3 linked regions of the Rhinolophus ferrumequinum genome follow. The protein of the gene in region 3 binds, or shares a complex with, the protein of the main gene of each other region. Links are inferred from orthologs where the notes say so. Each region holds a gene or a part of one and is shown on either strand. Other genes may lie near its edges. The genes, in order: VPS54, STX6 and VPS51.

What was found.
Region 1: VPS51 (region 3) and VPS54 share a complex: the UniProt entries of both Homo sapiens proteins name them as parts of the golgi-associated retrograde protein (GARP) complex. The link is inferred for Rhinolophus ferrumequinum from reciprocal best matches to the Homo sapiens genes VPS51 and VPS54.
Region 2: the proteins of VPS51 (region 3) and STX6 are in contact, whole or in part, in a crystal structure (PDB 4J2C), measured with the Homo sapiens proteins. The link is inferred for Rhinolophus ferrumequinum from reciprocal best matches to the Homo sapiens genes VPS51 and STX6. Residues at the interface, in NP_037397.2 of Homo sapiens: Ala33, His34, Met36, Leu37, Leu39, Tyr40, Tyr41, Gly42, Leu43; in NP_005810.1 of Homo sapiens: Met3, Glu4, Asp5, Pro6, Phe7, Val9, Val10, Glu13, Trp59, Asp60, Asp63, Leu64, Glu66, Thr67, Ile70, Val71, Phe78, Arg88.

The regions. Positions count from the first base shown.
Region 1 is NC_046296.1:25,818,377-25,828,208, reverse strand, and holds the start of VPS54 (vacuolar protein sorting-associated protein 54), read right to left. Parts: upstream 4,717-9,832; 5' UTR 4,608-4,716; intron 1-4,607. UniProt on the Homo sapiens protein: Acts as a component of the GARP complex that is involved in retrograde transport from early and late endosomes to the trans-Golgi network (TGN).
Region 2 is NC_046305.1:13,348,846-13,359,280, forward strand, and holds the start of STX6 (syntaxin-6), read right to left. Parts: upstream 4,141-10,435; 5' UTR 3,914-4,140; coding exon 3,879-3,913; intron 1-3,878. UniProt on the Homo sapiens protein: SNARE promoting movement of transport vesicles to target membranes. Targets endosomes to the trans-Golgi network, and may therefore function in retrograde trafficking.
Region 3 is NC_046294.1:6,509,212-6,519,096, forward strand, and holds the start of VPS51 (vacuolar protein sorting-associated protein 51 homolog), read right to left. Parts: upstream 4,792-9,885; 5' UTR 4,671-4,791; coding exon 4,458-4,670; intron 3,977-4,457; coding exon 3,847-3,976; intron 1-3,846. Other genes in the region: cation channel sperm-associated auxiliary subunit TMEM262, read left to right, coding at 8,906-9,079, 9,186-9,253, 9,366-9,672; ZFPL1 (zinc finger protein-like 1), read right to left, coding at 9,762-9,885. UniProt on the Homo sapiens protein: Acts as a component of the GARP complex that is involved in retrograde transport from early and late endosomes to the trans-Golgi network (TGN).

The sequences.
Region 1 (9,832 bases), on a different chromosome or scaffold from region 3:
TTTGAAAGGTAATTAGGTGTAGATGAGGTCAGGAGGGTGAAGCCCCCATGACGGGACTAGTGTCTTTCTAAGAAGAGGAAGAGAGAAAGAGGTTGCTCTCTCTCCACCATGTGAGGACATAGTGAGAAGGCAGCTGCCCATAAGCCAGGAAGAGGGTCCTCACCAGGAACTGAATCTGCTGGCACCTTGATCTTGGACTTCCCAGATTGATGCTGAGAAATAAGTGTTTGTTGTTTAAGCCACCCAATCCATGGTATTTTATTATAGCAGCCCAAGCTGACTAAGACAGTTCCGATATTTGAGAGGTATCCTAGGAGACAGAATTGGCAGTACTTGGTGATTGGTTGGACAAAAGAGCTAAGAAATAAGTACATGCTAGGAATGATTCCGAAGGTTCCTAACATGAGCAACCAGGAGGATGGTGGAACCATTTAGTGAGATAAGAAACAATGGAGGAGGAAAAGATTTGGTACCATAATTTCAGTAATGGAAATGTCTAATTGGGATATCTGTGTAATAGCTACCTGGAAATGTTAAGGAGGCAGTTAGATATATGGGTCTACAACTCAGAAGAGATACCTGAATGAAGACATAAGTTCATAAGTTGTCAACACATAGTTAATAATTGGAAGGATGAATGTGTATGAGATTTATGAGAGAGAGAGTACAGCGAGTTGGGAAGGGAAGGGAAAGGAAACGGTAAGGAAGAGAAAAAAGAAAAAGGGAAGAGGGCCTGAAACTAGGCCCAGATCTATACAAGCAAATATCAGCATATATCAAATTAGTGAGCAAACAAAATATTTCTATAAAAGACTTTTACCTTTATGATTAAACTGGCTTACTGATATGTGTCAATGGGTACCATTCTGATTCTAGGTGGTCACCATATCCCTCTGGTTAATAGACTAGGTTCTGAGAGGAGGAACAGCAACCAGGGGAGACTAGAAAGAGGAGGCAGAGAAATAACAGGAAAGCCATGAGACTTTGAGGGTACAGAAGACAAAGGAACTAATTTTTTTGGAAACAGCTAGGAGTAGTCAACCAGAGCAAATAAGATGCATGCTGCCCATTAGATTCAGCAGCATGAAGGTCACTACTGATCCTAGCAAGACAAATTTGGTAGATAGTAGAACTGGAAGCAGATTTCGATGAGTTGAGGGCTGTTTTATGGAGAAGAACAAAGGATGAGTAAAGTGTTTCTAGAAGCTTAGTTGTTAAAAAAAAAAAAAAGGGGGGCTAGATAGAGTGGTAGGTGGAAGTGGATGTGAGGGAAGATTTTCTTAATATGGTAGATATTTGAACATGTTTTAATTCCCAGAAGTGCTCTTCAGAAACAAACAAACCAAAACCAAGTAACTCCACTGAGCATAATAATTAATTTTCTCCCAAATATTTGTTCGCTTATGTTATTCTGTGTGTCAGGAGATTTAATATCACTGAAAACTTTTGATTGACATCAAATGATCAAGGAGGAACCAATTTTCCCCATCTCTCAGCTTTGCTGTCATCCATTTATTCATTTAACAATTTTTGTTGAAAACTACTATGTCTCATGCTCTATTTTAAGCACTAGTGATACAATGATATGAAAGAAGCAAGCCCACTTTCACTACTTCTTTTCAGCATTGTACTGGAGTTTCTGGACAGTGCAATAAGTTAAGAAAAAGACATTTTAACAATATAAGAATTGGGAAGAAATAAAACATTATATTTAGATAACATAACTATATATTTAGGAAATCTCAATGAATCTCTAGATTACTAGAATTAATTAACCAGTTCGATTACTGGATACACGGTGTGGTAGGTAGAATTCTAAGTTGTCCCCCAAGATCCCAGACCCCTGGTGTCCATGCCCTATATAATCCCCTCCCCTTAAGTGTGTGTGGACTTGTGAATATGAGTTTTCACTCTCATGATTAGATTATGGTGTATGGCAAAAGTGAAGGAATTTTGTAGATGTAACTAAGACCCACGGAGTTAATCAAGAGAGATCACCCTAGTGGCCCTACCTAATCAGGTGAGACTTTTTAAAAGAGAGTTTAGAGGTCAGAGATGACAGAAATCAAAATATTTGAAGAGAAATGGTTTCCTGTTGGCCTTGAAGAAACAAAATGCCATGTTTCAGAGAGGATTACATGACAGGAAATTGCCTTGCCCTCTAGTAGCTGAGAGTGGCTACTGGATGACAGCCAGCATGAAAGAGGAACTTCAGTCCTATAATTCCAAGGAACTGAATCTCACCAATAATCAGTGGGCTTAAAAGAGGACCCACAGTCTAGATGAGATCGTAGGCCTGCCTGACACCTTGATTTCAGCCTAGTGAGACTCTGAACAGATGACCCAGCTAACTTGTATCCAGACAACTGACTCATGGGAACTGTGAGATAATAAATTTGTTTTCCAAGATGATAAGTTTGTGATAATTTGTTATACACCAGTAGAAAACCAATATGTAAGGTCAACGTACAAAAATTTAATTGTTTTTCTATTAATATATATCAGCAACAGACAGAAAACTTTAAAATTTTTTACCATTTGCAATTGCACAAAAATATCAAATACTGAGGAATAAATCTAATGAAAGAATGCAAGACCCTTCTACAAAGAAAACTATAGAACTTTATTGAGATAAATTGAAGATAAACTAAATAAATGGAAATATATGCATTATTCATGTATTAGAAGTTTCAATGTTGTAAATATGTCAATCTCTCCAAATTAATTTACAGATTCAGTGCAATCACAACAGGTTTATATGTGGAAAAATAGCAACCTGACTCTAAAATGTACAGTTGACCCTTGAACAACATGGATTTGAACTGTGCAGGTCCACTTATATATGAATATTTTTTTTCACTAAATAACTACTGTTTTTGATCCATGATTGGAAATAGAAGGCTGACTATGTATCCATCTACATTATTTTATATAAGGGACTTGAGCATCCGCAGATTTTGGTATCCATGAGGGGTCCCAGAACAAATCCCTTGCCGATATTGAGGGAATAACTGGGGGTAGTTAAATTTGGGGGAGTCAAGGGTTATACATGGATTTACAACTGCACTGGAGGTGGCTCCCTTAACCCCTGCATGTTCAAGGGTCAACTTTATATGGAAATGCAAAGTGCCGAGAATAGCCAAACACTCATAAAAAGAACAAGATAGGAGGACATACTCTACCAGTTACCAAGGTTTATTATAAAATGACAATAGTATGGTATTAGTATAATAGATAAAGATAAAAAAAATGTTAAAACCTCCAACAAATCAAAACAGAAAAGATAGATAATTCAATAGAAAAATGGGTCAGACGCTTAACAAGCATTTCATAGAAAAAGAAATCCAAATGGCCATATGAAAAGGTTTCAGCCTTATGTGCAAAATGATGTACTACACATCCACAAGATCACTTTGGAACATAATTTGGCAATATCTTCTAAAGTTGAATATGCATATACTCTATGACCTAGCCATTCTGCTCTTGGAAATATCGCCAATAGAAATATATGTGTATGTTCATCAAAGATATTTACAATAATGGTGAGTGACAGAAGCCAGACATACAAAAATATATACTATATAATTCCATTTACATAAAATTCAAAAATTCAAAACTATGATGTTAATAGTCAAGAGGAAAGAGGAGGTAGTAATTAGAAGGGGTATGAGAAGGGTAATGTTTGATTTCTTGATCTGGGTGATAGTTAAATATATCTATTCACTTTGTAATAATTTTTTACTCAAACATTTATTTTGAGCATTTTTTCATATGTAAATAACATATCAATAAAAAAGATTTAAAAATAAAACCAAGCTTCCTGCCCTCATGGGCTTTATATTCTACTGTGAGGATCACAGCTTTATATTCTACTGCTCTCCTTCTTATTGGCTGGCTTCAATAGCAGATTTCAAGTGGTGGGAAGTGATAGGAAGATGGCTTCCAGCAGCTCCTAGTCTACAACTTCCCGTGTTCAAACCAGTAGGCAAGGCATACCTACAGGCTCAGCAGAAGTCCCAGATTGCCTCTCCCTGACTCTGATTAGATGATGCACAATCCCAACCATTGAGGCCAGGATGAGGCTCTGATTGGCCAGGCCTGAATCCAGTCAACCCTGAAACCAGAACATATTAAATAAGAATGAGGAAAGATGTGGTTCTTCAGAAAAAGAAAAAGAAAAAAAACAAAACTGGGGCCCCATGTCAGAAGAGAAAATAAATGTGGACTGAAAAGCAAATGTCCACAATGAGTCTCCTCTAAGTGAAAACCCAGATTTGCTACGTCATATTAGGTCAAGTTCCTTTTAAAGTCTTTCATTGTATTCCATATGTTTCAGCGATTTGGCTTGCCTACTTCTTCCACTGCTAACGTGGTTGCAAACGGACTCTTTTCTTCCCTTTTGTCAGCTAAGAAATAGGGCATCCTCCCCGACACCATCTCTTTTTCTCTGGATTTGAAATAAGCCAAAAACAACCAACCAAACAACATAAATAATAACAAAAATCCATTTAGAGTTTTAAAAGCTTGTTTCTGCTAGAAACTACAATGTCACAAAAAGATTAATAAACATAATCAAACCTTGGAAAATAAGTTCTATTTCTACCCACCTGTAGAGACCCCTTTCGGTACCTCAGGGGCTGCCTCCTCTGGTAAGCTTTCTTTACCATCCCCTTTACTGAGTTACTCAGTTCCTCTGTGTGCTCACTTACACAGTATTGTAATTTTCTGTTTACTTATCTGTCTTTTCTATTGCTTCATGCCTTCCTTTCAGACCTGGTTTCGGCCTTTATGTCTGTATCAGCAGTACAAAGCTCATTGTTTGGGATAGATATGGTAGAGGGTCAATAAATGTTTTCTGAATGACTGAGAACTTCATATCCCAATTGCATTTAATTCTGATAAAAGCCATGTGAGGTAGATATTGTTAATCTGCAACTTAATGAGCTAAGTGACCTGCTCCACATCACACACAGGGAGTAGAATCAGGATTTGAGCTTCACTCTATTTGAGCCAAAGTCTGAGCTCTTGGCCACTGCCTTGGTCAAAAATGTTCATCTGTTTGGAATAAGATTCAGACTTTAGCTTGCAAGAGTGTTTCCTAATTAGATTCTACCTGCCTTTTTAAGCCTCTCTGTCATTACTCACCACTGTGCATCTTTCCTCACAGCCCCTGAACAGACTTGGGTTTTCCTGCCTCTGTTTAGGTAGGTTCTGCCAACTCTGTTTCCAAAATCATCCCTTCTTCAAGGATCAGCTCAGATGTAATAGCTTTTACATAACATTTCCCTTATCATTTAGTCAGAAGTGACATCCTCCTCCTCTCAATTGTCATATCATTTATTTCCTAAACTATGGATGTGGCATTTTTGACGTACTAGTTCCTGTTCAAGCTATTAATGCACCTTTAGTTTCCATATCATACGATTACACCTTGGCTTGTCCTCTCCATGGCCCCTAGTACAGTGACTTGTACATGGCAGACTTAAGAAAGAAATTGTTGGATGAATTAATGATGATAGTTGCCTTTTTGGTATGCCACCCATTTTCCTCACTGTCTAGGGCTTAGGACTGTGCAAATCATTATTGAATCTGCAAGGATATCCCATATCCTCCTCAAATCCCATAGTCTGAGTCTCTCTTGATACTCAAAGGAAGCTTACACATTCAGAACCACCAGTTATCAAGTTGGCAAATTGAAGTACAGAATAGGCTTTTGATAGCTTTTAACAATGTGGTTTCACAAACAGTTTGAAAATATAGCTTTGTGAATAATATGTTTTAGTTTAAAAGGACAAGAAGAAAAATAAGGGGATGTATTCTGGGGAAAAATAAGGGAATTTCTAGAGCTTGAGGTAATTTGGTCTGTTAACTGTAAAACCTCAAGTTAACCAGAACCCAATTAACTGGTATTAACTGGCACCTGTAATTACGAGGGGGGGGAGGGAGAGAGAGAGAGTGAGAGAGAGAGAGAGAGAGATTGACAGAGAAAAAGGATTTGCCTCTAGGAGAAAGAGACAAATGACAACAAAAAATATTATCAGGGGTGTGTTCAAAACAGCAACTAGCAGCATGTATCCTCTCAGTAGTAGCATCATTTCCAGAAACGAAGCAACTCAAAATTCGCATCACGTGATGAGATAGAAAAAGAAATTTAACCAGGAATTTCATTTAACCAGCACATGTCATTTCCCACAAGTTGTGGTTAAGCAGTGATATGTCATAAGCCAGCTGCCTAGGAGTTAGAGGTAAGTATAATATTCCTTAAGAAACTACTTTGCAAAATTGTTTAAGGAAAGAATTAGGGCAACTAAACTAACTAGCAATGTAAGGGCATTTTCAAAAAGAAAAAAAAGACCAGCATCTTCAATGTGCAGCTGGAGCAGAAGATCCTGGTGTGTGCCTTGTTTTCTGCTAAATTGCAGGCTTCTTCAATGATCAGGTTTCAAGTTGCACTGCAGCAACTGACTCAAAGTGTTTAGTCTGCAAATGAGACCAGACTACAAAGGGACATGATTGAGGTACTGAAAATTGCAATTACCGAGGGCATGTGAAAATTGATCGGTTCCTCCTTGTAATCTGGTTGAACAATACAGGAACAAAAGAATTTAAAATAAAGTTTAATATTAATGGAAATACCAGAGAAGTTATTATGATTTCATGTGGTATTTTCAAAGTGGTATTGTGGTATTCACAATAGCAAAGAGGGCATGGAGAAAAAGGCTGAAATTAGATATATTTTTAACTGAGTAATCACACATATGACAAACTCAACAAAACCAAACTTCAGGTGATTAGAACCCAAGAACTTGCAGGCTAACACTGAAGATTCTGCTGGAAGAACACCATCATAGCTGTTACAACAAGTAAGGTTGGAAGCAAATAGCATTGGTGAGCAAAGTGATCAATATGTCAAATCTGTTCTGATGATGATGATGATAGCTAGTGTGTTTAGAGCTTTGTCCCCAATATGTGCAAAAAAAAAAAAAAAACAGACTGTTTATTTCTACTAATGTCTCTAGAAATTTTGGACTCTTTCCTTCACATTTAATTAGCCATCTAATTATAGCCATGCACTGCATAATGACATTTCGGTCAACAAGGGACCACCTGTATTATGGTGATCCCATAAGATTATAATGGAGCTGAAAAATTGCTATCATCCAGTGACCTCACAGCTGTTGTAATGTCATAGCGCAGTACATTACTCATGTTTGTGGTGATGCTGATGTAAACAAACCTACCGGGCTGCCAGTCAATCATATAAATTGTAACACATACAATTACGCACAGTACCTAATACTTGATAATGATAATCAATGACTATATTACTGGTTTATGTATTTACTATACTAATTTTTATCATTATTTTAGAATGTACTTTTTCTGCTTATTAAAAAATAAGTTTACTGTAAAACAGTATGCAGTGTTACACCAGCAGTAGCCTCATACATCTTGTGTTCACCATCTGTCTTGATCTCATCATTTCCCCTTGTGCTTGATTTAATCTCATGTTGTTTTGGTAGCCTGGGAGCAATAGGCTACATCATATAGGCAAGTGTGTAGTAGACTCTACCATCTAGCTTTGTGTAAGTGCACTCTATGTTGTTCACCAGATAACAGCACATTTCTCAGAACTTATCCCCGTCATTCTTCGACACATGACTGTAATCAAGTGTGACTTTAGTCTCTTACACCGACTGCCTCCTTTCTATCCCCATCCTTACCACTCAAATATTGCTCTAGCTTTCAGGAGAATTTTAATAGATATTTCCAAATTACCACTCAAAAAGATTGTATATGAACTTACATTTCCAGCAGTTGTGTAGGGGAACATGTGTGTCCTCAAATAGCCAACAACACTTGGTATTAACAAACTGTTTGATCTTTACCAATCTAATAGGTGAAAAAAAAATAGATGATATCTCATTGATATTTTGATTTGTATTGCTTATGTAGATAGCTATAATGTATGATTTCTGCCTTGCTCTCAGTAACCAGCATTAGGTCACAGGGACAGGCTCAGTGCCAGGGAACCAGCAATGACAGCATTTTACTTTACAGCATTTACAATGGAAGGCAGGGAGGAAGGGAGCTGGAATGGATGTTGAAGCCATCATCATTTTTTTCATTTATGACTTTTGGGTTTTACGTCCTTCATCACCCTAAGATTAAAATTTCACCCATGATTTAAAAATATATTTTTAGGGGCCGGCCTGGTGGCTCAGGTGGTTGGAGCTCCATGCTCCTAATGCTGAAGTCGCTGGTTCAATTCCCACATGGGCCAGTGAGCTTCAACCTGCTCCAGTTGAACTGGAATGGGGGCGGAAGAAAGGGAGGAAAAATTTTGTTTTTGTTATAAAAGTATTCAAATACACCAAAGTAAAGAGAATAGAAAAATGAACTTTCAGGTATCTATCACAGTTTAAAAATTATTAACATTCTATATTTTTGTTTCATCTATCCCACATCTAATTATTTGTCTGAAGTTCTCTAAAAAAACAAAAACTCAGGTATCATATTAGTTCACTCAAGAATATATTAGTATGTTTCTCTAACAAGTAAAAAGTATTTATTGATGTATGACATATACATATTAAAATTTATGGCTCAATTAATTTTCATAAAATGAAAAAACTCATGTAACTACATCTTATATCAAGAAATAGAATGTTACCAATATTCCAGGAGCCCCCCTTTTTGTCCTCTCTAGGTTACTACTATAGGGGAGGAAAAAGCTTTCCTCAACCGTCTTATAGTTCCCTGGCTGGGTCTGAAAGTTAAATTGACAAAGGCAGATTAACAGGAGAAAAGCACAGAAATTTTTTTCAGCGTAAGTTTTATGTGACACAGAAGCCTTCATAAGGAGATGAAGACCTGAGTATTTTATGCTAGGTTTGAGGAAGAGTGGACAGTCATGGAGGAACAGGAGAGGGTAAGGAGTATGAGGTAATTGTCCTAAACTGGGGGAAGTTAGTAAGGCCTATTTGTAGGATTCTTCTTGTCTTCCCTTTAACTTCCCAGACAAGAATGCTCCTTTCCTCTGGGGATAGGGAGAGCACCTCTCACATGAGGGTTTTATGACCTGCTTCAGAGGAGAAGGGTGGGGTCGGTGAGGGTGGGAAGGTCAGAGTGACCTTCCTGCTCTTCATTTGCTCAAACACCTTCAGCTTAAAGTAGTCAATACACCAGGGTGCCATCTTTTGGGGTATGTGTCCTGAACCCCATCACTACTGTACCGTCAAAGTTAACCACTATCAGCTTTAATTAGTTTTGCCTATTTTTGACTTTTATATACATAGAATTACATTACAAACTTAACAGATATAAATTACATCATATTGCTTGGTGTCTGGCTTACTTCATTCAACAGTGTGCTTGTAAGATTTATCCATGTCATGCATAGCAGTAGTTTGTTCTCATTACTATGGAGTATTTCATTGTATAAAAATTTTGTAGATTTTTAACCATTCTATTGATGGCTATTTGGGGTGTTTCCAATTCTGGCTATTGCAAATAGTACTGCTGTGATCATTTTTGTACAAGTCTTTTGCTGCCCACATGTCAGCATTTCTCTTGTGTAAATACCTAGGAGTAGTATCCCTGGGTGATAGGGTATGCTTATGCTCAGTTTTAGTCGATTCTTTCTATTTTCTAAAATGTCTGTACCGAGTTACACTCCCACATATGGTATAGGAGAATCATAATTGTTCCACATTGTCATCAACACTTGGCATTGTCAGTTGTTGCAAGTTGAGTTCCGTGGGAAGTAGACTCTGAGAAGAAGATCGTCATGCAGGAAGTTTATTAGGAGGTGCTCTTGAGATCAGCACTG
Region 2 (10,435 bases), on a different chromosome or scaffold from region 3:
TAAAGTAGGCATTATTAAGCCAAGTTTGTAGGTAAGAAAACGGGTTCCAAGAGGATAATTAACTTGCCAAAAATTACACCAAATAATCGATAGAACTGAGATTCCAACCTTGGATTAGCCTGATTACCCAAGCTCAGTTCTTACACCAAACCTCACCGCCTCCCAAAGTCACATAAAAGGAAACACTGCCCCCAGAAGACACGTTTTCTTACTTCTCCTCACAGAACCCATCAGCACCTGACACGCCGTGTTCGGTTCCTCTGTACGCTGCGTGTCCCTGGAACGTGAGCCCCCTAAGGACAGGCATGTTGTTTGCTCGCTCCTGTGCCCTCGGCTCTCAGTAAGTACTTTGGAATGAAGGATTCTGAAAGGACAATGACCTGAGCGTGTCTCTGTGGCCTTATCTGGTAACAGTGTGATGCTCGCTGCAGAAGCTGCTTATACGAGTCCAGGTGGGAGAGGACAAGGATATGAACTAGAGCATTAGAGAAGGTTCCAGAGAGATCCCCGGGGTGGCACGGATTGGCCACAATGACCACGTGGTCCTGGGACTGAAGCAGAGAGCGCCGAGGCAGGAGTGAGGAGGGCTAGGAGGAGGATGAATGCGTGGGTCAGGTGTTGGGAGGAAGAAGGAAGGAGAAGAAAAAGAGAAGGGGCGGAGATGCACGCCACAGGGTGGGAAACGGAATAATGACTGGAAAAGAGAAAAGCGCTCAGGAGAGAGTTGGCTTAGAGTGACTGGGGAGCAGGTGTGCACACACCCAGGGAGCACCTGCGGGAATGGGGACTATGGCGCTCACCCCGCGAGAACACGCACGAGGACCAACTAGAGCAGCTACACTTAAGGGATGGATGAGGGACAGAGGTGACAGCAGAGCCAGGAGGCTCAGGATAGGTCTGAATTACACTGCAGTGGAAATACCGCGGTGAATGGCTGCGTAGAGTGGGTGCCTGGGGACTGAGAGCTTCCAGGACCGTGGTCAAGTTCACTGCACTGAGGCAGGCACTGCTGGGCTCTGAGCTGTGGCCAGGCAGAGTCCGAGGAGGGAGAGGAGGGCTGACTCATGCAGGCCATGAAGTGTTTGGACTTTATTTTGTAGGGAGCTGGCAGCCACTAAGTGACGGTAAGTAGGGAAACCCTTCTTAGAGTCCAGAAACTTACTCCTGTGCTACCCACATGGAGCTGTGAAGCCACATGTGCCTACTGAACGCTGGAAATTTGCTAGTGTGACTGAAGAACTAAAACTATAATTTAAATTAAACTTTAAAAACTGATATGCAATTCAGTTACCGGAAAATGTTTAACAATGTTGGGAACAATTTGGGTATATGAATCTCCTTTTCAACTATAAGTTTAATAAACACAGATCAAGTATTTCTGATGAAAATTTCACATCCAAATTGAGATGTACCATAAGTGCAAAATATATACCAGGTTTTGAAGACGTCGTACTAAAAAGTAAAATATCTCATTACTAATCTGTATATTAATCATATGTTAAAATATTTTGAATCTATTAAGTTAAGGATGACATTAAAATTAATTTCACCTATTTCTTCTTGCTGTTTAATGTGGCTACTAGGAAATGTAGAATGGCATATATGGCTCACATTATATTTTGTATAACACTGATCCAACAGAACCCAGGGCAGATGAGAGGAAAGAGACTGGGAGCAGGAAGACCAATTAGAGACTCTGGTAAGAGTCCAGATGAGACACAGGCCTGAATTATATAAATTCTACCCATCTTCAAAACCTGATTCAAGATTTACTACTACCTCCAAAAGCTTTTCCAATCATTACTCATCCCTAATGAGTCACCTTGCTCCAAACTCCTGGGTCACCCATCTTCTCTAGCATTCCCCTCAGTCCTCAATCATTTCCACTTGCTTTTGTGGGCAGTTATTTCTCAGTTTAGACTATCAGCTCCTAGGCTAAGGGCCACAGTTAGGTGTCTTTAATTTTTCTACATCGTGTGATGTGTTTTCAATACGTTTAATAAATAGAGGTGCAAGGCTCCTCGAGTAGTCTGTCACACATACAGTCTGACAGACTGTATGTGGCTAAATTTACCTTTGTACAGCAGAAGATATTGAGAGTCTCATTTCCTTCAGATACGTGAAGGGCAATAAAATGATGTCAAAATCAACCAAGACTCCAGGCCAATGTTCCAATACAGCAGTGATAGCTAATCAGTGAGAAAGCACAGACTGTCTTGCATACTCTCAGGGAAAAAAAAAAAAAAGTCCAGATGGCACAGCAATTTAGCATTTTCACAAATTCTATTAAAAATCAAGCAAACAAAATTTTTCTGATTCTCTCTGGTCTCCATGGCCAGAGATAACCTTTGCAACTTTCATTCAGGGGGAAAACACACAGTTTTAACATTTAAAAGTTAATCCCTAAATCGATTCTAACAAATAACACATTTTCCGGGTAGAGAGCCACATATTACTAAAAAATCTACAATTCGGCATTTTCCCACCTACGTTAAAGGACAGTGAGGTCGAAGGGGGATCCAAGATGGTGGAGTAGATAAATGCTGTGCTTGCCCCCTTCCGTGACCACATTAAAATTACACCTAAATTATAGAACAATCAACCTGCAGAACCACCTGAAGTCTAGCTGAACAGAAGTTCTATAACGAAGGCTATAAAGAAGAAACCATATCAAGACTGGGGAAACAATTAAAGTAAGGTGAAGAAAAACCTTTTTAGGGAAACATTAAGAAACGTATAAATATATTTACTGTATCATAGATAATAAAGTATTTCACCTAAAGCACCATTTAAATTTTCTAAGAACCCTTACAAAAATAAATAAACACCCAGGTACCTGGTCAGCTTTCACCACTCCCCAAATAGGAAGTAAGCAGCAGCTATTTGAAAGCAAAGGGACCCTTTATGATTTTCAGTATTGATCATCTAGGAACTTTGTGGTTCTCAAATTTATGTTTGACATTTAAAACATAAAGTTGACAAGTGGTAACAACGTAAGAATCCATCTTTCTTGCATTTGTTTAATGGCTACAAAACCGATACAGTAACAAAGTGCTATTAAAGTTTCTATCGCCAAACAATCCAACAATCAAAGATGGAGTCAGGACAGCTCAAAGGGAAAAACAAGTAGGGAAACCTGTCAAATAGCCTGGATGAAATCAGGGAGTTGAAAAGAAAGCACTCGTTTCCTTTCGCACTGTGGGAAAATCCCGGTGCTAATAGGAAGCCGAGGGAAGTTTAGTTTGGCTGATTTCATTTTGTTTTCCTTCCAACATCATCACTGAGTATGAACGATTGCTTTCCTCCCCTCCCATTACTCAATAAAAACTCCCCCACTGAATTGAGCTGTCTTCCGGAGCTATCCTCCCCAGCCTCCCAGCCTGCAAACGTGCCTGGACGCCTCCGGGCCGGTTGTGGTCCCACCAGTCTGCCGGCCAGCGCTCCGATCTCAATGGACAATGGGAGCTCACCCCCGTCAACACCAACTACAAAGCTCAGGAGGGCCATTTCCCTTTTCCTGCCCAGATGCTGTTTTCCCTCCTTCGAAGCAGGGCCTCATGCTCCACTAGAGCTGGGACCCGCGTCTTTCTACCCACCTGCAGAGCTGCTGAACTCCTCGACCCCCAAATAAGTTACACCGCAGCGCACAGGCCAAAGGGGACCCCCTCCCCAGGTTGGAGGCACGGATTTCACAGTGCAGGTAGACGGGGAGGGGATGTCTCTGGACTCTTGGTCAAGGCTCTGAAGGCTAAGCCGTCCCCACAATCCCCTCCCCAGCCTCAACTTGTCTCCCCTCCCCCTCCAGCAAGGAGAGCGGGGAGGTGCGGGCAAGCAGCATCGCCACCTCCTCCTTCAGTGGAACTCTCGGCGACACTCACCCTTTCACCACAAAGAAGGGGTCCTCCATGGACATGGCGTCCCGGCCCCCAGCCGCCTCACGCCCGCTCCACGCACGGGGCGCCCGCGCCCTCCGATCCTCCCTCCGCCCACCCGACGGGCCTCCCGCAGCCGCCGGCGCCTCAGCCTGGGGATCCCAGAGCAGCGGGCGCGCGCAGGCCGGGGTGATGCAGCCCGCGGCTGGTCCAGCACTCGGTGGGATCGCAGATCGAATCCCAGACTCCGGCGCCGGCCCCCGCAGCTGCCTCCTCCCCCAGCTCCTCCCGCTGGTCCGGCCGGCCTGACCCCGCCCCCGCCCACAGCCTCGGCCAACCACGAACACAGCCCGCTGCACCACTTCCGCACCCGAGCTCACGTGACCAGGACCTGCCCCCGCCCCCGCCCCGTCGTGGGCGGAGCCTAGGCAAGCGTCGCTGGACCCTGGAGGCGGGGCTCTAGGAGCGAAGGAGAGGGGCTGGTCTTCTCTCAACCCGCCCCTCAGGATTCAAGGGGAGGAGCCACCTTTTCTCTCCGAGGAAGACAGGTAGGTTTTCAGGATGTGAGGTAGTACCTGAATTGCACAATCCTTATAACTTTTCTCTACGTACTTTTAATACTTGCTTTTGATAACATATAAATCCATCTCGTCCTCGACTTACCGTAAAGCGTGCTCATGTACATGATCTAATTATGACAATGTTGCACAATTCCTTTAGGTCTTACTATGTGTCCAGCAACGGGATAAAGGCTGTTTATGCATTATCTCAATGTATCGTGTAGGGGACGAGGTATTCTTATCCCCATTTTATAGAAGAGAAAAGTTCAGAACGGTTTCAAGATTTCCTGTAGTCACACAGCCTGGACAGGGCAGAGCCCCAGGTTCTGTCCACCTTTAACCAGACTGGCGTGTATTTTCTTTTGCTGTGTATTTTGCAAGTAATTAGTAAGGTAATTTTTTCATACGGCATATGGTGCTTCCCAGGAGAGAGCACCTTTGAGGGACAAAGAAGGGGCCAAGTATGGCAACCTGCTCTCAGCTATGGTTCAAGAACTCTTCCCAAAGCATTTTGGTCAGAACAATTAGCCAACTCTTATGCTAGATGTGCTATGTGAGTTGTTAATTTCAATTGCTGATAATCACTGAGCAGTTACTGTGTGTCAGGCACTGTGCTGTCATCTCAGTTGCTCGCACAATGAGGTAATTACTGTTCGTATCCCCATTTTACAAATGAGAATTCAGACTCTTGGAGGTTATGTGACTTGCCCAATGTCACCAATCTTTTTGGAGTTGGAAGAGTCCTTTGAGCCAGACAAACCCTGTTTGAACCAGGGTTCTATTATTCAGTTCCTCATCTATAAGAGGTGAAGAAGAATATTTACTTCATGGGCTGTTATGAAGGTTAAATGAAAATGCAGGTACACGCCCAAGACCCCAACGGAGTAAGGTAGTGAAATCAGGGAAACCAGTCCGGAAGCTGCTGTGCTCACCTGGTCTGAAGGGATGAGGACCAGACCAGGATGAATCTGACAGATGTTTCCAAGGAAAAACAAAACAAAACACCTAGACATCATGAGAGATTGAATGGGGTTAGGGAGGAGACAGGTGTAAGTGCAGGCTTCTCGGAGACCTGGAGGACCAGTGGGGAAAAGAAACTATCGGGAGAGAACTGTTTATTTGGCTATGGACATATTGAGATGGGAAGGTGGAAAAGGATCATCATCTTTCATTCCTTCAACAAACACATGTAAATTGAGGGGCAGATCAGCATAGTGACTACGAGCCACACTTGGAGCCAGATTGCCCGAGTTCAAATCCCAATTCTGCTACTTCCTGTTCTGTCTTGAGCTTCCTCTCTCACTGTCCTGAAGTAGACACCATAATAATGCCTTTTGCATAGGGTGTCATGAGGATTCAATGAATTGATGTGTGAAAAGTGCTTAGCACAGTGCCTGGCACGCGCTGTGTGCTCTTACTATGTGCTAGGTGCTGAAGACACAGAGAAGAACAGCCTTGGTCCTCACTGTGAAAGAACTCTCAGACCGGTGAGAAAAACAGGCAGTTACACACAATGAGAGAAGGGCACAGGTTGCCATAGAAACACAAAGACAAGATACCAATTTGGGGGGGGTTGTTTCTAAGCAATGACTGGAGGCAGCCAGGAGACTGCATTGCAGCCTGTGGGGGAGCCACGGCAGAGGGTGATGCTGGCATGTAAGGAACAGGATGGTGACAAGAGGCGCTAAGGCTGGAGTCTGACAAGGTCAGATGATCAGGGCCCTTGATTATGATGTTAAGAACTGTAGACACTCTCCTACAGATCATGGCAGCTGAGGGAATTGGCAGGGTCAGACTGGCATTTGAGACAGACACTGTGGTGACTGGGAGGTCAACTGGGAGGTCATGGTCTAGAGGAGGAGAGATGAGGGTGTCTTGAGATAGGCTCATGGCAAATAGGATGGAGAGGAGGGATGCTTTTGAGAATACGTTAAAGGCAAAGTCAGTGGACTTGGTGACTGATTGGTTCAGGGTGTTAGGGGGTTGCTGAAAGCAGAGGGAGGAAGACTTGCAGGCCTTTCTGGAGTTGGAAGTACGTAGGTAGTTGTTAGTCCCAATCACCAGGAAAGAGAACACAGGAGGAGAATTAGATGGAGGGTGGATGTAAATTAGCTGCTAGCACGTTGGTTTTTCTCACTGAACTAGAAGCTTCTGGAGGGAGGGGAGAATATTATTTTACCTCAATGCGTAGCATACCCTCTGGTTATCTATTCCATGAGCTTATTAGTTAAACCACAAATGAGAGGTCAGAAACAAAGCAGAAGCATAGAAGATAGAGGACAGAGGCTTGGAGAATTCTCATAATAAGGGATTTGTAAAAGTACCAGCAACAGACATACTGGAGGGTTGAGATATGAAATGTGTGTGGGAGGGTATGGGGTGTCCCTTTAATGTCACCCTCCTTCACCCTCTCTCAACCCAAACAAGACATTGGCCTCCACTGCCCCGGGAACAAGGAAGCTATAGTTAAAATGCAAGCATCTTTTCATGGGCTTATTGAACATTTGTATATCTTCTGTGGAGAAATGTATTGAAGTTTTTGCTCTTTTTTTAATTGGGTTGTTTCAGATTTTGTTGTTGCTGAGTTCACCCTGCATCCTTTTTGAAATAACACTGAGTAAGGGAGAAAAGTGTTGCATAGACGTTAGGTATTATACTCTTCATCATTATCTCAGTCTTTTAAAAACCCTGAAATACATATGCGTGCTCTGGAATACTCCAGGAAACATTCGCTCACATTGGCTTCCACTGATCCAGCCGTGGCTGTCTGCGTTTCCCAGCCCCAGCTACAGAAAGTGTCCATCCACACACCGACCCACACACACTGGTTATGTTTCCTTCCCTCTCCTTGGTTGCTACCAGCACCTCTATCCTTACCCTCTACACACTGGTTTAAAATAAGGAGGAATTCTAGTCAACTTATATATCCAACACTAGAAAGTGATTAAGAGTTTATGAAAAATCCATTTGATGGTCATTAGAAACGTTATTTTGAAGTATGTAATGACATGTATGGAAGATTGCAAGACAAAATTGTATATATGATATCATTTCAACTCTGTTCATTTTTATACATAGAAAAAAAGAAATGTATTTAAAGTTTAGCATAATGAAATGTTTACCTGGATCATCAGAAATACAAAAAATAAAAACATAAAAATAAAAAATAAGAGAAGTGAGAAAGTTGTGGCCACGTATGTGAAACTACAACAAAAGTTAGCAGTTTTAAATGATTAATTTTAGAGTCAGGCAAGTTAGAAATGTATAAATGAATGGATATTGGCAAGTATTAAAAGTTAAAATATGTTATTGGAATTCAGTGAAATTCTTGACGAAACAGTGAATTTGAACCAGGGTAGGAGGACAGTTATGCTCTTTACGATCTCTATGAATTTGTTGGTGTGCAGGGAAGGAACAACCACACTCTGGTGGTGAAGTAGTGAATAACAACAGTAACAATGATTGTTAACAATTACTTACTACGTATGTAGCAGACATTGTGCTGAGCAACATACATACATAACCTTCAGAAGTGGCTCCAGAATTTCTCCATAGGGCAGGCTTTAGAATTTAACTTAAAGTTCAGACGGCAGGGCGAGGAGGCTTGAACTGAAGTTACATGGCAGACCCACTGTCTTTTCTTAAATTAGAGGTTTACTTGGGATGGCTCAAGAGGACTACTGGTGATTATGTGTATGTGATAATAGTACTGTGAAATCCCAACAAGTGACAAGTCTCTTATTGCTGCAATAACAAATTACCACAAACTTAGCGGCCTAAACAACACAAATTTATTCTCTTATAGCTCGGAGGTCAGAAGTCCAAAAGTGGGTCTCACAGGCTAAAATCAAAGTGTTGGCAGGGTTGCATGCTTGTGGGAAGAAGCTGTTCCTTCTCCATCCTGTTCTAGAGGCTGTCTGCATTCCTTGGCTCCCTTCCAGCAATGGCACGACTCCCACCTTGCTTCCAAGGTCACATCTTCCCTGATTCTGACACTTTTGCCTGCCTCTTATAAGGACCTTGTGATGCAAACCTAGGTCCCTGAACCAAGGCCTTCCTCATGGCCTTGCCTCCACTCATCTCTCCCACTAACCTCCACTTCCTTTTTCTTGTCTGGGCCTGTCCTCCAGCTCCCTGGACAAACTTAAGCTACTGTTTCCCAACTTGTCATGCTCTTCCTAATGACAGTGTAGTCGCAGCTTGACCCCGGGATTGCTAATTAAGCAAGCCAGTGTCTGCCTCTCGGAATCTTCGTTTAGGCCTTTTACTTGCTCTCCTTTATTCAACAAACATTTTTGGAGCTTATTGGGCTGGAGGATAGACCTAAGCTAAAAATGACAAGACAGTCTAAGAGCGATAGATGCCACGTCACATCAGTCATATGAACTATACTATCGTAGGAAGTCAGAGCAAGGAGTTCCAAATCCTGGGAACCTTGTGTGAATCTTTCTCGTGCACCCCGGGAGAAAGAAGCAAAGGCTTCTTTCCTTTTGAGCTCCGTGAGGGACCAGGGGTGATTAACCTTTGTGTTCCCTGCGCCTTGCGCATAGCTCTGCTCCACAGATGTTTAAAAGTTGGGAACAGGACCACCTGAAACTAATATAGTATTGTATGTCAACTATAATTGAAAAATAATTTAATAATAGCTTTAAAAAAAAAAAAAGGTTGGGAACAGGGCCAAGAGGCACACCAAAAAAAAAAAAAAAAAAAAAAAAGCAAGCAGTGTCTGAAAACAGCAATGGGTTAGAAGTTATCCTGAAGGCCAGTCAGCACTTTCGTCTCTCTCTATTCTACCTAGCAACTGCTGACACCGCACACAGCTCCTATTTTATTGGGAGAGAGCCCTGAGCGTCGCGCCGTCGCCGAATCTCTGAGGAGCGGGTGGAGTCGAGGCTCTTGAAAGATCCGCAGGGATCTGTCGGTGTTTTGGTTAAAAGAATCTGAAAGGAAAGGACTTTAGAGGGGCTGGTGGTGCTCCTGTTACGTCTCCTTATTGTGTTAACGGTGAAGCACAGCGTTGCCCGTGAGTATCCCGAGTTCCCTTTGCCCCGAACGCCCCCGCTGAGGCGGCGTAGGCGGCAGAGCTTGGCCTCCGGAAACGTGCGGTGACATGTGGACGGAGCCAGGGCGGAGAAGTGTGTTTATTAAACCCGGGACTTGGTGGAGCGGCGGACTCGCTGCACAGTTCCCCCTGCGGTCCCTGTGTGTCACCCACCTTCTGAGAGGGCGGAAGCCACGCTGGGAAGAACCTCCTGGGAACCCCCTGTCCTTCTCAGCATCGCCCCCTTCTTTCCTGCTCAGACCCTTGCTTTGACCTCTGTGTCTGCGCTGCACTAGCTCAGTGAGTCCCGCGACGAGTTTCGGGGGCCTTGCGCCGCGGCATCGACCCCCGGGTCCGACGTGTTTCTTCCTCACCACAAGCCCGACCAGTAACAAAAAATCCCGGGAAGAGAAAAGCGCGGTTCTGGACGCGTGGACCGGAGGATGGAGGAGACACCAGCTAAGCAGAGGAGAAGTTCTTCGTGGCGCAGGGGCCCGTGGCACGGGGGGAGCAGTGCCTTCCGTTGCCCCCAAACCATGAGAAGGCCCATGGCCTGGAAGCACCGGGCTTCTCTGCGCGACCACTCTTCCAGCTACGGTGGGGGACTCGGGGGGTGGCAGTGTCTAGAACTCAATCTCAGCCACCTCTGTAGGCAGGGACTCGTCAAATGACAGCGAGGAGCTCTTTCAAATCATCTGTGTATTCCTTACACAGAGGTTGGTGGATGGCCTACCACGTGCCAGGCACTTTGGAGCATATGACAGTGAACAAGACAGACATTGGACCTGCTTCTACAGAAATTTAATCCAGAAAAGCCCCACCATTTAAGTCAGAAATAGGAGAGATTGGGAGCAAGGGTTAAGAGAGATGATGGAAAGAGGAAGGGAGGAGGGAGGAAAAGGTGATCTTTCCAGAAGGTAAAAAGCTTATCTATATATCGCCTGTGTTTGAGCCTCAAAGAA
Region 3 (9,885 bases):
CAATAAAATCTTTAAAAAAAAAAAAAAAAAAAAAGGAAACCCGAATCTGACTTCCAAAGGAAAACAAAATCCAAAAGCTAAGTTATCACTGAAACAGTAAAATAAAACCCAGCACCGGTGTCACTGTTGCTGACTGCACTGCCAGAGAGCCGTTAACATGGAAATAAAAGCAGCACCGTACCAAAAAAACAAAACAAAACAAAAAACCCCAAAAACAGCTGAGTACTGAAAACTACACTGTATATCCTTGAACTGTTTCAAGCCTGTTAAGAAAAGCAGTTGTCACAGGGTGAATGACAACCATCTGGATGCCAAAACGTTAGCTACCGAGGGAAAGGACTGGGGGCAACTGGTGGGAGGCTGGAGGGGGCTTTGCTGGTCATGCTGAGTGCAGACGGGGGTTCCATTTGGGAAATTCATGCAGCTGTCTGTCCACTTAAGACCTGTGTACTTCTCTGTAGGTCTGATCATGTCAGTAAAGCTCACTGTCACAGATCGCTTTTGTCTTTGCCGGGGAAAGGAAGGGGACGAGGCTTTTCACTGCACAGCCTTTGGGACCTTTCCAATTGGGAAACAGATGAAAAAAATGCATTCATCCATAAACAAATTCAATGTCTAGCCAGGGGTCAGAGAACTATAGCCTACAAACCAAACCTGGCTTGATACCTGCTAGTTCTTTGTTTTTTAATGGGATATAATGGATGTATCGGAAAATTCAGTGGTTTTTAGTACATTTAGCTTAACCACAAAGTTGTACAACCAACGTCGCTATCAATTCTAGAACTTTTCCTGACCCCCAAAAGAAACCTCAATATCCCTTAGTAGTTACCTCCTATTGCTGCCATGCCTCAGTCCCTGGAAACCATTAATCTATTTTCTGTCTCTATGGACTCGCCTATTCTGTACATTTAACATAAATGGAATTACACAATATACTGCTTTCTGGGTCTGGCTTCTTTCACTTACCCTGTTTTTGAGGTTCATCTGCATTGTAGCACGTTTCAGTATGTCATGCCTTTTTATGACAAATACAGATCTACCATATTTATCTACCCGTCAGTTAGTGACCACGTGGGTTGCTTCTACTTTTTGGCTATTGTGAATAATGCTTCTATAAATGTTTGTGTACAAGTCTTTTACGAACATACATTTTGCAATCCTCTTCAGCATATTCCTAGGACAACTGCTGGGCCATATGATGACTCCGAGCTTAGCTTTCTGAGAAATGGCCAAACTGTTTTCGGGGGGCACCGTTTTGCATTCCCACCAGTAACATATGAGGGGTCACCTTAGTGACCCAAAACTGCAATATAGCAAACAGTGGTGAAGATGTGAAGAAATTCACTACACTACATCCTTCACTACACAGGCAGGATGCTTTCTATTGGCAAATAGAAAGGCACCTACTCACCGAACCGGCTTTATCGAACCTAGTGGGTGTAAAGTGAAATCTCACTGTGGTTTTGATTTGCATTTCTCTAGTAACCACCAACATTGAGAGCATCTTGTCACGTACTCATTGATCATTTATACATCTTCTTTGGAGAAATGTGTATTTGAATCCTTCGCTCATTTTTAAATAGGGTTCTTTTTAGTTCTGAGTTGTAAAAGTTCATTATATATTCTGGACATTAGACCCTTAGAAATTTGTTTTGTAAACATTTCCTCCCATTCTGTGGGCTGTGCTATCATTTTCTTGACAGTGTCCTTTGAAGCACAAGGTTTTAATTCTGATAAAATCCAATCTATTTTTTTTCTTTCGCTATGTGAATTTTTGGTGTCTACAGAGAAAACACACACTCCTGTTTGTCTTCTGTACTCTTAATACTCCACTGCAATACTAGTTCACATCTGACACCAGTGTGAATTTTCCACACATCCAGCAATTCCTGCGACTACAGTTTAACTTAATTCTGACACTATCTACCTGGAGTTAGCACTAGACCTCACAGTCCCACAGGACGACCCTGCCCCGCAATTCAGATGTCAACTGCAACTCCAGGTTGTCACTGACTGACCAGCTTCTGACTGACCAGCTATAAATCGGAAGTTCCCATGACCCCTTCCTCAGGTTCAATTAATTTGCTAGAACATCTCACAGAACTCAGGAATAATAGTTTGCTTACTAGATCACTAGGTTATAACAAAGGGATACCACTCAGGAACAGCCATATGGAAGGGGGCAAGGTAAGTGGGAAGGGGCGGAGCTTCCATGCTCTCTGGGCATGCCACTCTCCCAACCGCCGCGTGTTCCCCAACCTGGAAACTCTCCACACCCTGTCCTTTGGTTTTTATGGGGGCTTCACTACACAGGCAGGATTCATCAAGTCACTGAACACTGGTGACTGAACGCAATCGCCAGCCTCTCTCACTTCCTGGGAAGTCTAGGGGGTGGGGCTGAAAGTTCAACCCTCTGATCAAGTGGTTGGTTCCCCTGGCAACCTGCCCCCATCCTTGGATTACCTTGGGGCTTTCCAAAAATCATCTCATTAACATAAACGCAGGAGTGGTGGGAAGAGGCCGACTATATGAATAACAAAAGACATCCATTTCACCTTTATTGATCTGGAGCTTTTTCAGGAACTTGGAACAAAACTAAGTATTGTAACAAAAGAGGCCACTCTGGCTTTTATACAGGAAATCCCAAGGGGTGTTAGGAGCTATGTGCCAGGGACAGCGGACGAAGACCAAATCCAGGTATCCCCAGCTCTCCCCAAGTTCACTTTTAGGAAGACCTACAGTAGTACCTGTTTTCAGTAACAAAGAAATTTGAAGAATGCCCCCTCCCTCGCACCACGGAGAAGCACCCCATGCACTCATATTTTGCCCAAGCTTATCAATTCCATTTTTTGGAATGCTTTCTTCATTTAGCTTCTGAGACACCCAGGCTCCTGATTGTCCTCAAACCTCCCCAAATGCTTGTTTCCTTTGTGTGATCTTCCTTCCCTTCACATATTCTAACAAATGAAAAAATGTAATGTTTGCATAATTCCTGTGAGAAATTTTTCAGCACAGAAAGTAGGACTTCTTGCTGTTTGATTCTGGTATTGGCAAATAGAAAGGCACCTACTCACCGAACCGGCTTCAAATCAGATAAAAGAACAATGACAATGTGTTTCCACACCAACCACTGCGACACTAGCAGAGTAAGAGACATCAGAATGCACTCCACAGAGGTTCATGGAACATTCCCATGGACTGCAGGTAGACCCCTGGGATCTGCCTCCAGAACTAAGTACGGTACATGTGGGGCCAACATTACTACAAAAGCCTGAGTAGTGAATTTCACCAACACAAGACAGAAGCTAGTGTGGACGACAGTTAAACATTGTCTAACAATGTCCTGAAGAGAGAATAAAAGGGACAGAAGGAAAAAGAGCTCTTTATGATCTTTGTGTTTCTTAATGTCATAAGTATTCTCTCTTTGCTTAATTAAAAAAAGAGGGAGGGAGGGAGGGGGAGGAGAGGGAAGAAAGGAAGAAAGGAAGGGGCAAGCCCATTCTCAAGACACACCTGGACAGAGAAGAAAGCTACCACTAATGAAAGAAACTATCCCTTACTAAGGCATCCTTAGGGTCAGGGATTCTAAGTATTTCAGATACATTTGTTTCAAAATTTCATTTGTCCTTTCTGCCCTTTGGTCCTTAAAACAACCCTGTGACAATAGCTATTACCTCTATAGTAATATGACCACAAAAGATCTGAGAGAGAGGTGAGAGTGGATGAATGTCAAGGCAGGAAGGGAATCTGGGTCTCCTCCCTCTAAATCCCCAGCTAGTTTCCCCAACACATGGGGAGGAACTGGGGGAGGTGGGACTGTGAAGGGCGTGTCCCTGTGGGAATCACCTGTGGCTGAGATGAACTTGTTGTAGTTCTCATAGACCAGGGTCTGCATGTCGCTGTCTAGAGCCCTGATTTGCCGCACCATGTCCGTCTCACTGTCCATCAGCTGGGCCAGGGGGCACTCTCTACGCAGCTGGAGGAAATTGGGTGGTTAGTGTTCAAGTTAGAGGATACTCATGTCCCCCAGCCTTGCCCCTCATTGGAAGGCTTGCGGTGCAAGAAAACCCTGATCCCAGCCCCCGTCAGGAATCCCCAAATGGAGTCTATAAGGCTCAGGAGTGACTAGGTTTGAGGGACCCTATTTGGAGTTTGTCAGCATTGAAATCCTCAGCCAAGGCCCAGTGCTGTGCCTGTCAGCGCCTGGGCCGGGCTCCCTATGCTGGGCCTAGCAGAACACCAGGAGACCTCCGCCTCCTCAGGCCAGTCCAAATCTGACCACGCCCCCTTAGACTTCAGCTCTGTCCCAACTGCTAGGCCGAGGGTCGTCTTCCTCTTATAAACCACTGCTTCCTTCACCACAACAAAGTCGGAGGCATGATCTGAGAGTGCAATATATCGGGGGCCTGATTCCCTCACACACACACACACACACACACACACACACACACACATACCTTGTCCAGATACATTTCCGGGTCGAAGTGCGCCCCATTGAGGTCTGTCGGGTCCAGGGGGTCTGGCCCCGGCGCCTCCCCCTCCGAGAGGCCGTAGTAAAGCTTCAGCATTCCGTGCGCCTTTCGCCGACGCTCCGGAGCCTCCGCCTCAGGCCCCTCCGGGGAGTCCCCAGGTCCAGACCCCGGGCCTGGCCCAGTGGCTGCTGCAGCCATCGCTCTAACTGCAGCCCACCGGCGTGAGGCAGGGAAGGGGACAGGGAGGAGGCACTTCCGGGAACCATAAAGTTGTTGTTGAAACGAGGCAGTCCATCAGGTGCGACGTCCCCCGGCCGATGTTGGTACTTTGAGACTAGAGTTCCCCCGTATCTTTCCTCCCCAAGCGAAGAGGTTCCGGGAGAGCTCTGGTTTCCCCCAGCTTCTCACGTGGAAGGATTTTATGGAACTGGTCGGGTTGCTACCTTGGCTGAGGGAGGGTGGGTCGCTGCTCCCAACCCCGCACCCCCGCACCCCACAGGCAAGGGCCCTCGGAATATGTCCCTAGAGGCAGCGGACGGGGCGCGAGCTGTACAGCCAGAGAGCGTGTGCCTGGCATCCTCCTACTGCCTGGATACCTGGGCAGCGGCTCAGTTTCCACCTTAGTTCCTAAAATTGGGGTGCATACTTCAAGGGGGGCTGCGGAGGATTAAATGCAGGTACAGTACGCCGTATGGTGCCTCTAGCGCAGTGTGTCTCCAGGCCTCGTCCTGTGACATACATCAGAAATGCCTTCGTTAATTACCTGTGGTGCATTTTAAGACTCTGGGCGTCCCCCAAACCTAGATGCTGCTTCTTTTTTTTTTAAGTCCACAATTCGTTCTGGTGCACTTAAATATTCCGTGTTTAGAAGACAGACTTCCTGATCTTAAATGACTGACAGGATGTGGAGTGAGGAGTTGGGTTTCTGATTTGGACAAAGGTGTTCGCCAAGGGGAAGGGCTCAAGAGGACAGAATGACTTGGAGTTCAAACTGAGACCTGCTGAGTTTGAACGGAGAAAACGACTTTATCAGCGTTGTCCTTGAAACATTACTTATGATGGGCTGGGAGGGGGTGGGGTTAGAACGGAAACAGCCTTATTTGTCAGGGTCCTGCAGGCCAAACACATTCCACCACCTTTCCATACGGCCTGTGAACTATGAATGATTTTTTTCGTATTTAAATGGTTGAAAAAAATAAGAATGACATTTCATGACACGTGAAAATTATATGAAATTCGTATAGAGTAGATCTCAAAAGTTTTGATCACAAGAAAAAATATAACTGGTGATGGATGATAACTAGACTTGTGATCATTTTGAAATATATATATTGAATCATGTTGTACACCTGCATCTAATGTTACATGTCAACTATATCTTCATTTAGAAATTATTTTCATAAAATCATATGAAAATTATGTGAAATTGTATGAGATATTTTAGTGTCCATAGTTTTATTTGAACACAGCCATGCCCATTTGTTTATACATGATCCATACCTGCTTTCTCTCTACAATGGTGGGGTTCAGTAGTTGCAACAGCGACCATATGGCTGGCAAAACCCAAAACAGTTACTGTTTGGTTCTTTACAGAAAAAGCCTGCTGATCCCTGAATATATGGGATATTCAGAGGATGTTTAAAAAAAATGAAGATTTCAGCCTATGAAGCTATAAACTTAAAATAATGAAGAAGAGTATAAAGATTTAGATTTATTCCAAGAGGCCTATAAACATTTTTTAAAATTGCAGAATATTAAGAAAAATTATCCAAAATTTGGAAATAAGACCAAGAGTGTAGTATGTCCTTCCAATGTCATACTGGGCCATTATTTCACAAGCCCACCCAAGGATTAATTACCCAAAGGAATGGACATTTGTTTGATTTTGTTATTTACTATTCAGCATTCAGACTCTGAAATTACAAGTATTTTCCAGGAGAGATGCAAAACATGTCTAGTAAAAAAAAATTACCCTCAAAGTTATTATTTTTACTAAAATGTTTATTAATTGCCCTGTAGGGCATCCTGTTTTTTTGTTTGTTTTTAAATTTTATTGGGGAATATTGGGGGACTGTGTTTCTCCAGGGCCCATCAGCTCCAAGTAATTATCCTTCAATCTAGTTGTGGAGGGCGCAGTTCAGCTCTAAATCGCTGTTTTCAATCTTTAGTTGCAGGGGATGCAGCCCACCATCCCATGTGGGAATTGAACCAGTAACCTTGTTGCTGAGAACTGTGCTCTAACCAACTGTGCCATCTGGCTGCCCGGAACATCAACGTTTTGTATCTAACCTATAACCACATTCTAACATTCCTCTTTAAATGCCTGTCAATAACCAGCTCTTCAGGATGATTTACCACCTGAGGAGAAACCCCCTCTCTAATGAGTTAACGCATCTTAGTTACATATTCATTCTACATTGAGATGTTTATAACATTTTTAAAGTTGTACTTTGACAATACATATGGGTGGCTTTTAAAAATGTTTTTTATGTTATGCATGTGTACTCCTACGTGCATGTACATGTATGAAGTTACATCAATAGAGGACCAAAATGATGCCCACTCGCCAGTCTGTTGAAGGGGTTACCTCTGGAGGACTGTTACATTTTCCTCTGTATGCTGGTGTAGTATACAAATCTTTTTCCCCCCTTCTTCCGCCTCCCCCCTCCCGACTCCTGTCCAAGCCAGTTGTTTCTCAGTCTAGTCGTGTAGGACCCAGCTCCTTGGCCCATGCTGGTATTATGAGCCTTGCACTCCCCCCAGCTGAGGCAGTTGGTCGCTGGTCTGGCCACTCACGCTGGCCGCAGGCCAGCTCCTGGTAGCACACAGCAGCCTTGCTGCACCTTACAACGACCTCCGACTGTTCGCAGCAGGGCAGCTCCAGGGAGAGCAGTTTATTCATAATCTTAGCTGCAGAGGGCGCAGCTCAGATTCCCATGTGGGAATCAAACCAGCGACCTCGGAGTTAGAAGCACGGTGCTCCAACCACCTGAGCCACCAGGCTGGTCACAAATCTTTTATAAGAACATATTCATATACTACTTGGGTGATTGCTTAAATGGCATTGAACTAGGAGCCCTAACATATAAAAGTTAATTTGTATTCAAATGAGAACTGAGCTGTGCATTTCAACAGTGGGATCATAGGTGTGCATTGGGGCATCACCCCTTTAATGTGTTAGGATGGGGTTTGAGAGGCTGTGGTGATTAATGATTCCGGGTAGTAAACATGGATGGTGAGGTCAGGCTCTAACCCTACTGCTTCAAAACAGAAGAATTTGCGTCTTGGCCTGACCTGGGACCTAACTAACTTCTGGGGCAGTCAGGTAAGAGGCAGTGGGGACGGCCAAGTTCAACATCAAGTCCTCCTTCTTCTACTTTAGTTTCTGGGAGCTTGCATGTCCCTTCACACCACTTCTGGCCATGTTTCTGGCTTATTTTGTTGACAGTCCAGTCCTGGAGGTTTCCCCTTGCATGTGTGGAGGAAATGTTTTCTTCTCGGCTTCTAACTGTCCCTGCTCATTTCACAGCCTCAGGTAGAACTGGATCTTAGCCTCAGGACTAATGGCCCCAGTCATTGGCTGTGAAAGCTTGAGCTGACAATCCCTCTCTCTACCTCAAATTTGCGTGTAAAACAGGATTTATGCCACCGGCCCCAGCTTTCTCATGGGACTCTTGGTTGACAAAGATGATGGGTGTGAAAATGCTGAGTGCCGGGAAGTGGCAGAGAGGGAAAGCTGGTCAGCATCAGGTCCTTAAAGAACATCTGGGGAGAAGATGGACAGTCCAGTTGCTCAGGGCCACACCTAAGGAGGGCATGGCAAAGTCCTTGGACAGCTGTGGGGAATCTGTTGTCCCTTTCTTTCCCTTAGTTCCTTCCCAATAGGGGTTGGAGCAAATACTTAGAGCTTGTGATCCAACCCCAGGCCTCCCCTCCCCTGGGAATGCCCTCAGGTACACATCTGGGTCCGAATCTCTCATCTGCCTAAGACTTGCTGTGGACCTGAGACATGCTCCTCCCCCACACACTTTTCTGATCCCGCGTTCTTCATCTGTAGTGGGCCCACACTAAGTCCTCTGTCTTAACTCAGTAGTTAAAACTGTTGAGGACTCAGTGGGAAAACGGTAAGTGTACCTGGTGGGATGAAGGGAACGCTGTCCCTTCATCAACATGACAGGCTCCCACGCATCTGTACCTTTAGCCCACTACTCCTGCACAAGTCCGAGTGCCCCAACCACCCATGAAACACTCCTGTGTTCTAGAATTCCAGCCTGTGTTCTAGAATCTTGTCCCCTTGAATGTCCTCCTGTTTTTAGAATCCCACTGCTATTCCAAACTGTGCATTCTAGAAGCGGTAGAGTCAGGTGCTTTTCCTGGGCAGTGTCGGCTTGCTCAAGCTCTACTGTCTGACTTGAGTCTGTACTGCTGCCACGATGCGGTGGCGGGACCGCATTGCTGTGCTCTTCTTCCCTCAAGGCATGATGCTCACCGTGGCTGCCCTGATGCTCTTCTTCATACACCTGAGCGTCCTCGCCAGCGACGTGCACAACTTCTACTTCACCCACCACTACGACCGCATGAGCTTCCACTACACCGTGGTCCTCATGGTAGGCCGTGGCAGGGGCTTAGGGGCTGGTTGGCGGAGGCCCAGGGGCTGATGGAAACCCCACTGTTGTATCAGGGGGCCACTCTCCCACTGGATGGGGCCTACAGTTCTCCCAGGTGATCAGTATCTGCTGGGCTGCCATGGGGTCGCTCTATGCTGAGATGCTAAACGACAAGTTTCTTCGGTACTTTGCCCTGACTGTCCTGAGTGAGTGACGGAATGGGGAGCTTTGGGACCCCGAGACGTGGAGGGGGCAGGGAAGGCTGATGGGGGTTCTCTCCACCCAGTGCTCAATGGAGCCATGTTCTTCAACCGTCTGTCCCTGGAATTTCTGGCCCTCCAGTACCGGGAGGAGAATCACTGAAGCTTGGGGACTGGGCTGAGGTGGAAGGAAAAGGAAGCTTCGGGTGTTTTAATAAAGTCTGTCATTTATTTCCACCTGTCCGCTCCTGCATGGGTCGGGGAGGGTGGGAGGCCGGAGACCCAGGGGAAGCAGATCAAGACGAACGCTTATCTGCAGGGACCCCAGGCCCAGCCTGCAGCCATTCTGGTAGATTCGGCTTTGGGCCTGGGATCTTAGTGTCTCAAGCCTGAGGGAGAGGAGCTGAGAAAGGCCCCCAGACTGTCCCACGTCCCCTCCTCAGGCCCCCAGTTCCGAGGCTTGCCCAGACACAAGCAAGGTCTCAGGAGGGCCCCACACGGATGTGAGGGTTCATGAGTGGGTCCAGGTTGGGGTCACTGTCAGCTGCAGCCCGGCCCAGGCGAGACATGAGGACAAGGAGGGCCAAGAAGCCCAGCAGCCCCAGC